Linked DNA regions of Cricetulus griseus. Each later gene encodes a partner of the first gene's protein in a complex. Links are inferred from orthologs where the notes say so. Each region holds a gene or a part of one and is shown in the gene's direction. Other genes may lie near its edges.

Region 1 (3,813 bases):
GCTTTATTCACTGAGAGTAATTTGGATGGTGCCAACAAGGAGTAGGCAGCTGGTTTAATGCCTTCCTTGCAGGGTGGGGGCCTGGCTGTTGTGTAAAGCAGTTGTTCCCAGACTAAAGCCCTGGGCCACGCTTGCTGCTGTGGCATGGTTACTCAGCAGTAATGAGATCAGTGCAGTATTAACCTCTGAGAGGGATGTGGCCAGGAGAGGAGGCAGGAGGAACAGGAAGTACTCAACCACAGCTTCTCAGAGGTCTGCTACAGCCAAGGGGTCTTTGCTCAGAACGGAGCAGGAACTAACTCATAGGTACCTACACACCTGTGCTTGGCAGTTTTTATAACCAAACTTCTTCAAGCAAGCCCTGTTCCTTACCCATCTAGTGGAGCCTCTGAGAAAATTTGATTTGTCCCCATGACAGATGGCAAGGAGAGAGAAGAAGTGATACAGATTCATTTCTTCCCAGCCCTAGACAGACTTCATTGGTTGAGATCACTTTGTTCTCTCAGAATCACATCAAGAGTCACAAGTGGTTTTTGACCTGAAGTGACCTAGAGTGAAATAGACCTTTTACTCTGCTTCATAATGTAAAGTTGGGTTTAGTGTCACCCTGTAATTATCCAGACAGGATACCTGTGAGAATGAATGGCATGCTGTGATGTGGGAGCAGGAGGTGGAAACCAATGCTAATTTGTAATAGCAAATTATTTTCATAATTATTTTTGAAAACTTTTTTTTCACTTTACTAATAATAATATTAGTAGATATTTAGTAGACTAATTAGTAGACTAATAGTAGATATTATGTGACTATAGAAAGAACTATTCCTTGCCATGAGGTCTCAGTCTCCCACTAAAGACATAGAAACCATTACATGATCGTTATTTTCAAATCTCCTACCACTGGCCCTCAGTGTTCTATCATCATCCAGTGAGTAGGTCCCAAGCTGTTTAGTTGCAAGGTCAATTTGGGATCCTTAGCATATGGCTTCCAAACTATCATGGTCTACTTGACTGGGTTTTATCTTTTATGCAGATCCTTGTGGCCACAATTGCATTTCTTTTACCAAGTGCAGAGTACTCCTCAGTGGAAACAGATAAAAAGGTAAGTGACATGTTCGGTAACTTTCCCCACAGTAATTTTTAAGTGTAAGACAGAATGGTAACTAACATTACTGATGATGGTATCATTTATTACATCCTTATATGGTGGCTTTAACATTCTTTCCTATGAAAGCCATTTTTGTTTACATACTAACCCTGCATTTGCATGTCTATTGAATATTGAGCAGGGACAATTCTGTTTATTTTTACATGCAGTTGGTCCAAAGGGCCGTAGAGTGAAATTCTGGTTATGTTTCTTCTTCTAGTTTATTGTGTCCTTGCTCCTCTGCCTCTTGGACTGGTGCATGGCACTGCCTGTGAATGCCCTTCTCCACCCTGTGTCCACAGCAGTCCTGGAGGAGCTGCACCCACCCCGGGCTCCCTTGCTGGATTATATCTACAGGGTGAGTCTCCTCTAAGCCTTGGGCATTGACAGCGGACCTACAGGTTAAAAATTACCAAAATGTTGTATATGTTGTACATTTATGTATTTGTGCCTTCTGAAAAGGACCTGTGGAAGGTTAAGTATTTGGAAAGAAATGAATAATTAATGAACAAGCAGAACACATACAGTTGTAGAAAGCAAGTAGTTGCCAAGGTGAAGATATATACATTTCCACATGACTGTCATCTTTAAACAACTGCTGTTTGATCAGAATGACCCCAGTCTTCATGGCACATGATCTCTGTCTACTTAATTTCAAAATGGACTGTTTATATGTAGGAGGGTCTGCAGCATCCAAAGATCTGTTTGTAGGAAAGTAAGAAAAAAAATAATGCTTCTGGTACTTTATTTGCCTTAAAGAAACCTCAAGAGGAAGGTGTGGTGGTACATGCTTATAATCCCAGCACTTGGAAGCAACGGGCAAAAGGATTGCCTTGAGTTCAAGGCTGCCTAGGTTATATAATGAAATCCTTTCTCAAGACCAGAACCAAATCAAAACTAAAAGAACATGAAAGGAAAAAAATCCTTAGGATAGGAGTTAAGAAATCTCACTTTGTGAGAAGTGAGAGACTTTAAAATCTGTTTTCAGTTTACTTTTATTTAATTATGTTTTCAAAATCATATTAAATTATTTCATATAATTCTTCGGTTCATGCGTTGTACTTATTTAGACTCAGGTTGTGGTCACCCTGCCCTCAACCATGAGGGCTTTCCCACAGCTGTCTTTCATCTCCTGGGCTGGTTCCTTCCACCTGTGTTACTTTTGGAGAGTGACGGACTGAGGTGTGTGCAATCACACAAGAACATAAACCTTTTCACTTGGGCTCCGTTTGGCCTGAGAATGTAGGTATTGTTACTGACTTGCTTATAGCAAAAAGATATTTAAGATTGGAAACAACCCCATACTTTGACATGTTCCTAAGTAGGAGTCCTGTCTCAAAAGTACTGTGGAGACTGGACAGTTTGTCAGGGGTCAGGAGGTGTTGGCATACCATTCCTGTCTGTTCTCCTCAGGTTCTGCACTGCTGTGTCTGTGGCTCAAGCACATACACACAGCAAAGTCACTACACTCTAACCTTGGCTGACTTGTCATCCACGGATTATGACCCCTTCCTGCCTCTGGCAAATGTGAGAAACTCAGAGCCGGTCCAGTACCATTCATCAGCAGACCTGGGGAATCTACTGACTGTGGAAGAGGGTGCGTATGTCTATAAATATACAATCTTATGGGCAGGAAGAGGTAAGATTGTAGTCTTGTCCATGCTTGTTTTGAATCTACTTGTTGAAGTCCCAGTTTATAGGGTCTCTGAGGGCAAATTGCCTTCCCTGTTACTTCCTCTTTATTCCTGTTATTTTTTCCTCCTCTCTTCTTTTTCCCATCTTAAATTATTCACATGGTTTTGTATTACAGAAAATCTCTTGCCTCATACCCATAGAATGCAAAAAAAAAAGGGGGGGCTCCTTTTTCAATCTTCAAGAAGTTTTACATTTGGTGGGAGAGATAGGACAATACTGGGCTGGTAGCATCCTCAGAACTTCCCATAGGGAATAATTAAGCTAGACACAGCAAGGAGGGTAGGCTTTAAAGGAGCTCATGGAGTATTCACCTCATGAAGAAAGCTGGGAGCTTACTTGCCCCCACTTGGGATGTGTTCCTGTGGCAGACAAGTCTGTGGAGATTGTTAGGACTTGGCTACTGTATTTCCTCCTCTGCCACTGATATAAATGAAAAGCACCCAATCTAAGCCTTGGAATATGAGTCTGAAAAGTGAACAGGTCACTATAAGTGTGGCAGATTTTCATGAAACTAAGCACATATAAATGTATAAAACTGGTGCATACCAATTTATTAGTGGGCTATGTTAATGTCCATTTTCTGGTTGTGGTATTGAACTGTATATCTAAGATGTTACCCCTGAGATGAAGGGTAGTTAAAAATCTCTTTTATTCCCTATTACTGTATATGAATCTTCAACTGACCCAATTAACAGTTTGCAAATGTGGCTACAGAGTAGTACATCATCATCCAGGGATATTGCATGAAGCTTTTCAGTTTGCAAGCTAGGGCCAAGAATGGAATTCATGACATCCTTAAGAGAAAAGCAATGAGGGGCTATCACCAAGTAAAGTCAGGGTTGTGGAAAAGGACCAACATAGAGTCATTAGAGGTCATTCCTAGACACCAAGGTCAGAGTAGGTGGTGCAGAAGCAGTTAGCAGTACTGGGTGCTTCAAGAAGCCCAGGGAGGCTGAGAGCAGAAAAGGGACT
Region 2 (4,544 bases), on another chromosome or scaffold:
ACACATCATTCCCTCTCATTCTCCCTGTCCATGTTACACTAGGCATGGAGTTGAGTACTGCCCAAGATCTCGTTAGTAATTGGGATCAAACACATGGTCTTATACAAGAGTCAAAAGCTTCCGGCTTTTGGAAAGGGGTCTCCTACAGCAGAACACAGCTTAGCAACCCAAAAGAAAAACTGCATTTACTGCCTTCAAAAGCTTTTAGTTCTGCAGGTCCTGGTTCATTAAGACAAAAAAGCCCTTTCAGCGTATACTTAAGCACCAAACAGTAACAGAGTTTTGATAATAGATGCTCTTTGCCAAGGCTAAGTAAACAAAACACCTCCAGCCCCACCTTATACCCACCCAGTGAAGGTCTACTGCGTTGTCCCATTTCTAGCCGCCACCCGTAATGGGTTGTCAATTCAACTGGTAGGTACATCAATCTATTTACCTCAGCAACAGACTGAAGGCTTCTGGCAAACTTTAGCTGGTTAACACCATGATGGACAGGCTTGCCGTAAGTTGCACCCTTAGGAACTGGGCGTTTGCGGCCACCACGGCGGACACGAATCCTGTATATGACATAACCTGTACACACACACAAAACCAACAGGTGAGACTTTCCCGATGCTTCCCGTTACCGGGGGTGGGGTGGGGACATGCGGGACTTTTCTGGGGCAGTGGTATCGGACATCACGCACCTTGTTTGGCCTTGTACCCCAGCCTTCGCGCTTTATCAGGCCGGGTGGGGCGTGGAGCCCTGTGCAGCGCAGAAAGCTGGCGGTATTGCCAGCAACGGACCCTCAGCAAAAAGCGCATCACGTCGGACTGCTTCTTCCTCCATAGCTCCTGGATGTACTTGTATGCACCCATCTTGGCTCACCTTTGAGAGGAAGCACATTGGAAAAGCGATCGCTGTCAGGCAGTGATGAGAACTGGGCCGTCCGTCCCGGCGCCCCACCTTCCACAGAGAATGAGAACGGTCCCGCACAGGCGGCAGGGCGCAGCTGCCGATTCGGCTGGACCGATAGCCCGGGCTCGGGGAGGCAGCAAGGCTGGCCGCAGGGTTGTGAAGGCCACCGCCGGCGAGACTAAAACCCGGAAAGCTTCGCCCCACGCGGCCGGCCTGGCCAGGCCTCCATGCCTGAGTCCCGCGCCTCCTTCAGGCCCAGCTCGGATCCTGCCGCCATCGCGTCTCCCCTCAAGCCTCCCGGGTGGCTGCGTCTTCGCGCCCTCTCCACCCCGCATCCTGACTGAACGCTCGTGGGGAGAAGCAGCTCCGCGGCGGCAGAGCCGCCAGGGCCGGATGGCTGAAGACTAGCGCGATTCGTGACGGATAGAAACGCAAATATGGATCGACCTGCCTACCTGATGGCTGCCACCAGAGGAAAGGAAGAAGCCTTTCTCCCACAATCCCTTTTGTGGCTCCTCCCCCACCTCGGCGACTCTCCTTCCGGTGGGGCGGGGTGGCCGCACAGTGCCTCATGGGGTATGTAGTTCCGACATCCAATCTGGTGGGCGGAATCAGGCTGGGACAATTCGTCGCTTCCGGATGTCTTCCGCGGGCTCTCAGCATTGCCTCTGAACCGGGAAGGTTGCCAGAGGTGAGAGGCGTTGAGCCCGTGTGGGTCACGGGTGCGGGTCCTGAGGAGGCAGGTCGGGGACCGGCTCCAGAGCGACGCCCGCGGACCGCAGTGACCCGCGTGCCTCTGTCTCACTGCTCCGCAGTGTCAGGTTGGTGTCTCCGCCGGCTCCGCTCCGAGATCCCGGAGCAGCGTGACCGCCGCACAGCTACCGGGTGGGCGTAGGCGCTAGTGGCTGCGCGCGTGTCCTTGAGGCCCGCCGACCCAAGCCGAGAGGGTGGACCCTGGCGTCCGTCCTCCTTCTGCTTTCCCTGTGGTGGATGGGAATCCGGAGGTGCTAACGTCAGAACACGGGGGCTTTATTTTATCATGTTTTTAGGACAGCAAATTGTTCATTTGCCAAGTCCTCTTAGGTGCGGCTGTTTCAGGAAGAAATGCCCAGAAGGCTGACATTCTGCATTGCGTTCTTTATTAAGAAATAATGGTTTTGGAGGTTTTGCAGCTCCAGAATTTTCTTTCTTCATAGTCTTGCGGTTTTCATAAAGTCTACCCATGTTTGTGGCCAAGGTTCTGGATTCATGTTTATCTTTTACATCAATCTGTGGCTCTGTTCATCTTTTAAAATAAACAATGGCTTTAGCATTCTAAAAATCCTCACCTGTCTTAATTTGTGCGGGGCACAGTCTCAGCTGTTGGGTATGCAGCCACAAACAACGCACAAGTGCTAGCCTTGGGAGCAAACGTCAATACTAACCTATGTATTTAATTTGGTGCCAAGGACACACATTGAGGAAGTGAAGGGGTATAGGGCAATAGGGTGACAGTTGCCCAAGTGTCCCAAGAGGGAGGCCTCTCTTCAGCTGAACCCTTGGGGTGGGGTGGGGGGGCATCATGATGTAGCCAGTGGAGCCTGGACCTGGGTGGAAGTAATCTTCCAACCAATTAACTGCCTCATTTTTTTCTCTTTTTAGCACATCTGGTGTAGCTTGCATGTTAGGATGGAGTGCTCAGGATGCTATTTCTCATTCCCATTCCCACCCACCCCCAGGGAGATCTCTAAAAGAAATCTGGGGTGCTGGGGCGACTGTCACATTACTCCTCACTCCCTCAATGTGTGTCCTGTGATCAGATTAGCGATTACCCCATCATCAGAGAGCCTTCATCCAGTAACTGATAGAAACAGATGCAGAGACCCACAGCCAAACATTAGATGGAGCTCAGGGAATCCTGGTGAAGAGAAGGAGGAAAGATTGTAGGAGCCAGAGGGGTCAAGGACATTACATGAAAACCCACAGAAACAACTAACCTGGGTTGATAGGAAATCACAGACTCAGAAACAACAACCAAGGAGCTTGCATGGAACTGACCTAGGCCCTCTATATATCTGTGACAGTTGTGTAGCTTGGTCTACTTGTGGGACTTCTAACAGTGGGAGCAGAGGCTGTCCCTAACACGTTGACTGGTTCTTGGGAACCTATTCCTTGCCTTGCCCAACTTTACTTAATACAAGGAAGGTGCTTAATATTAATGAAACTTGTTATGCCAACCTCTGTTGATACCCAAGGGAGGCTTGCCCCTTTCTGAACAGAAACAGAGGTGTGGATTTGGGGGGTTAAGATGGGGGGGCAGGGGAGGGAATGAGAGGAAGAGGAGGGAGGGGAAACTCTGGTTTGGATGTGAAATTAATTAATTAATTAATTAATTAATTAAAAAAGATTTCTCTTTTGGGACAGTCTTAATTTTTTTTTAAGATTTATTTTTAGTTTCTGTGTTTGCTTGCATGTATGTATATGTGCCCTGGAACTGGAATGCCCAGTGGTGGGAAGCGTCCATGTAGGTGCTGGGACCTGAAGCAGTGTGCTCTACTGGAGTAGCAAGTGCTCTAGCTACTGAGCCTCTCCAGCCCCATTGAAGGATAACATTGAAGAATAAATTACAAGTCTGTGAGCGTAGTTAAGTGGCATAGCATTTAGGAATCAGAAACCAAACCTCAAAAAGTTTTAAGTTGGGGTATGGATGACTGAGACACAAGGTTAAGAGACAAGACAGAAGATACCAGGACTGACAGAGAAAACAGCAAGTGGTGTTTTGGAATCAAACCCAAGGAGCTAGGAAGCCACTAGATGGTTCTGAGAATGTAGGCTGGATTTTAAAATTCTAACTTAGGATGATTTGAGGCTAAAAGGAAAGAGAGTGGAATAGAGAGCATAGTGAGATGGTTAGGTTTCCCCAACAGCAATTACAGTTTTAAATTTATGTTTTCGAGATACATTTTTCTTTCTCTTTTATTTTTGCTATGTAGCTTTAACTGTCCTGAAAACTTAATGTATGCACTAGGCTAGCCTCCAACCTGCACAGACCCCATCTGTTTTTCCCTCAAGTGAGGAGGCTGTGCTTGCCCCACCTGGCCTCCACTGCAATACATTTAATGGCTTAAATAAAACATTTATCATTTTATAGTTTGTAGATCAGAAATATCAGGTTAAAGCCATGGTGTTGGGGCTGGAGAGATGGCTCAAAGTTTAAGAGCACTGACTATGCTTCCAAAGGAGGTAGATTCAATTCCTAGCACCCACCCACATGTTAGCTCACAACTGTCTGTAACTCCAGTTCCAGGACATCTGACACCTTCACACAAACATACACGCAGGCAAACACCAATGAAAATTAAAACTAAATAAATAAATAAATAGCCCAAGGCCACCTGCATCCTTTCCAGTCATTCCCTCTCCTCTAAAACTTGTTTTATAAATCCACCTCCATCTTAATCTCTGTTAATTCAGTCACGCATGCAAAATTCCTTTTCAAGTGAGGTCTCAAAGGTTTACAGGGTTAGGATGGGGGCATCTTTGAGAGTCCATTTCTATAAAAGTGGAGGTGGAAGCTGGAGAGATGGCTCACTGGTTTAGAGGACCCGGTTCCATCCCCAGAATCCACATAGCAGCTCTTCCTGGCTTCCATTAGGGATCATTAAAA

The links.
Region 2: the proteins of Ralgapa2 (region 1) and Nkiras1 are in contact, whole or in part, in a crystal structure (PDB 9QU1), measured with the Homo sapiens proteins. The link is inferred for Cricetulus griseus from reciprocal best matches to the Homo sapiens genes RALGAPA2 and NKIRAS1. Residues at the interface, in NP_065076.2 of Homo sapiens: Pro20, Lys21, Tyr51, Ser52, Gln53, Phe56, Tyr59, Glu60, Ile63, Arg99, Phe102, Arg103, Trp104, His105, Tyr106, Gln107, Ser108, Lys185, Ile186, Tyr187, Pro188, Glu189; in NP_001364280.1 of Homo sapiens: Lys6, Glu22, Leu24, Leu25, Tyr26, Glu34, Met39, Glu40, Asp41, Val42, Tyr43, Met44, Ala45, Ser46, Val47, Glu48, Lys54, Gln56, His58, Tyr60, His74, Tyr75, Ser77, Phe78, Lys108, Thr162.

The regions. Positions count from the first base shown.
Region 1 is NC_048599.1:32,658,529-32,662,341, forward strand, and holds part of Ralgapa2 (ral GTPase-activating protein subunit alpha-2), read left to right. Parts: intron 1-1,032; coding exon 1,033-1,101; intron 1,102-1,366; coding exon 1,367-1,504; intron 1,505-2,559; coding exon 2,560-2,743; intron 2,744-3,813.
Region 2 is NW_023276807.1:175,377,191-175,381,734, forward strand, and holds the start of Nkiras1 (NF-kappa-B inhibitor-interacting Ras-like protein 1), read left to right. Parts: upstream 1-1,502; 5' UTR 1,503-1,589; exon of another isoform or gene 1,590-1,719; intron 1,720-4,544. Other genes in the region: Rpl15 (60S ribosomal protein L15), read right to left, coding at 437-573, 687-858. UniProt on the Homo sapiens protein: Atypical Ras-like protein that acts as a potent regulator of NF-kappa-B activity by preventing the degradation of NF-kappa-B inhibitor beta (NFKBIB) by most signals, explaining why NFKBIB is more resistant to degradation.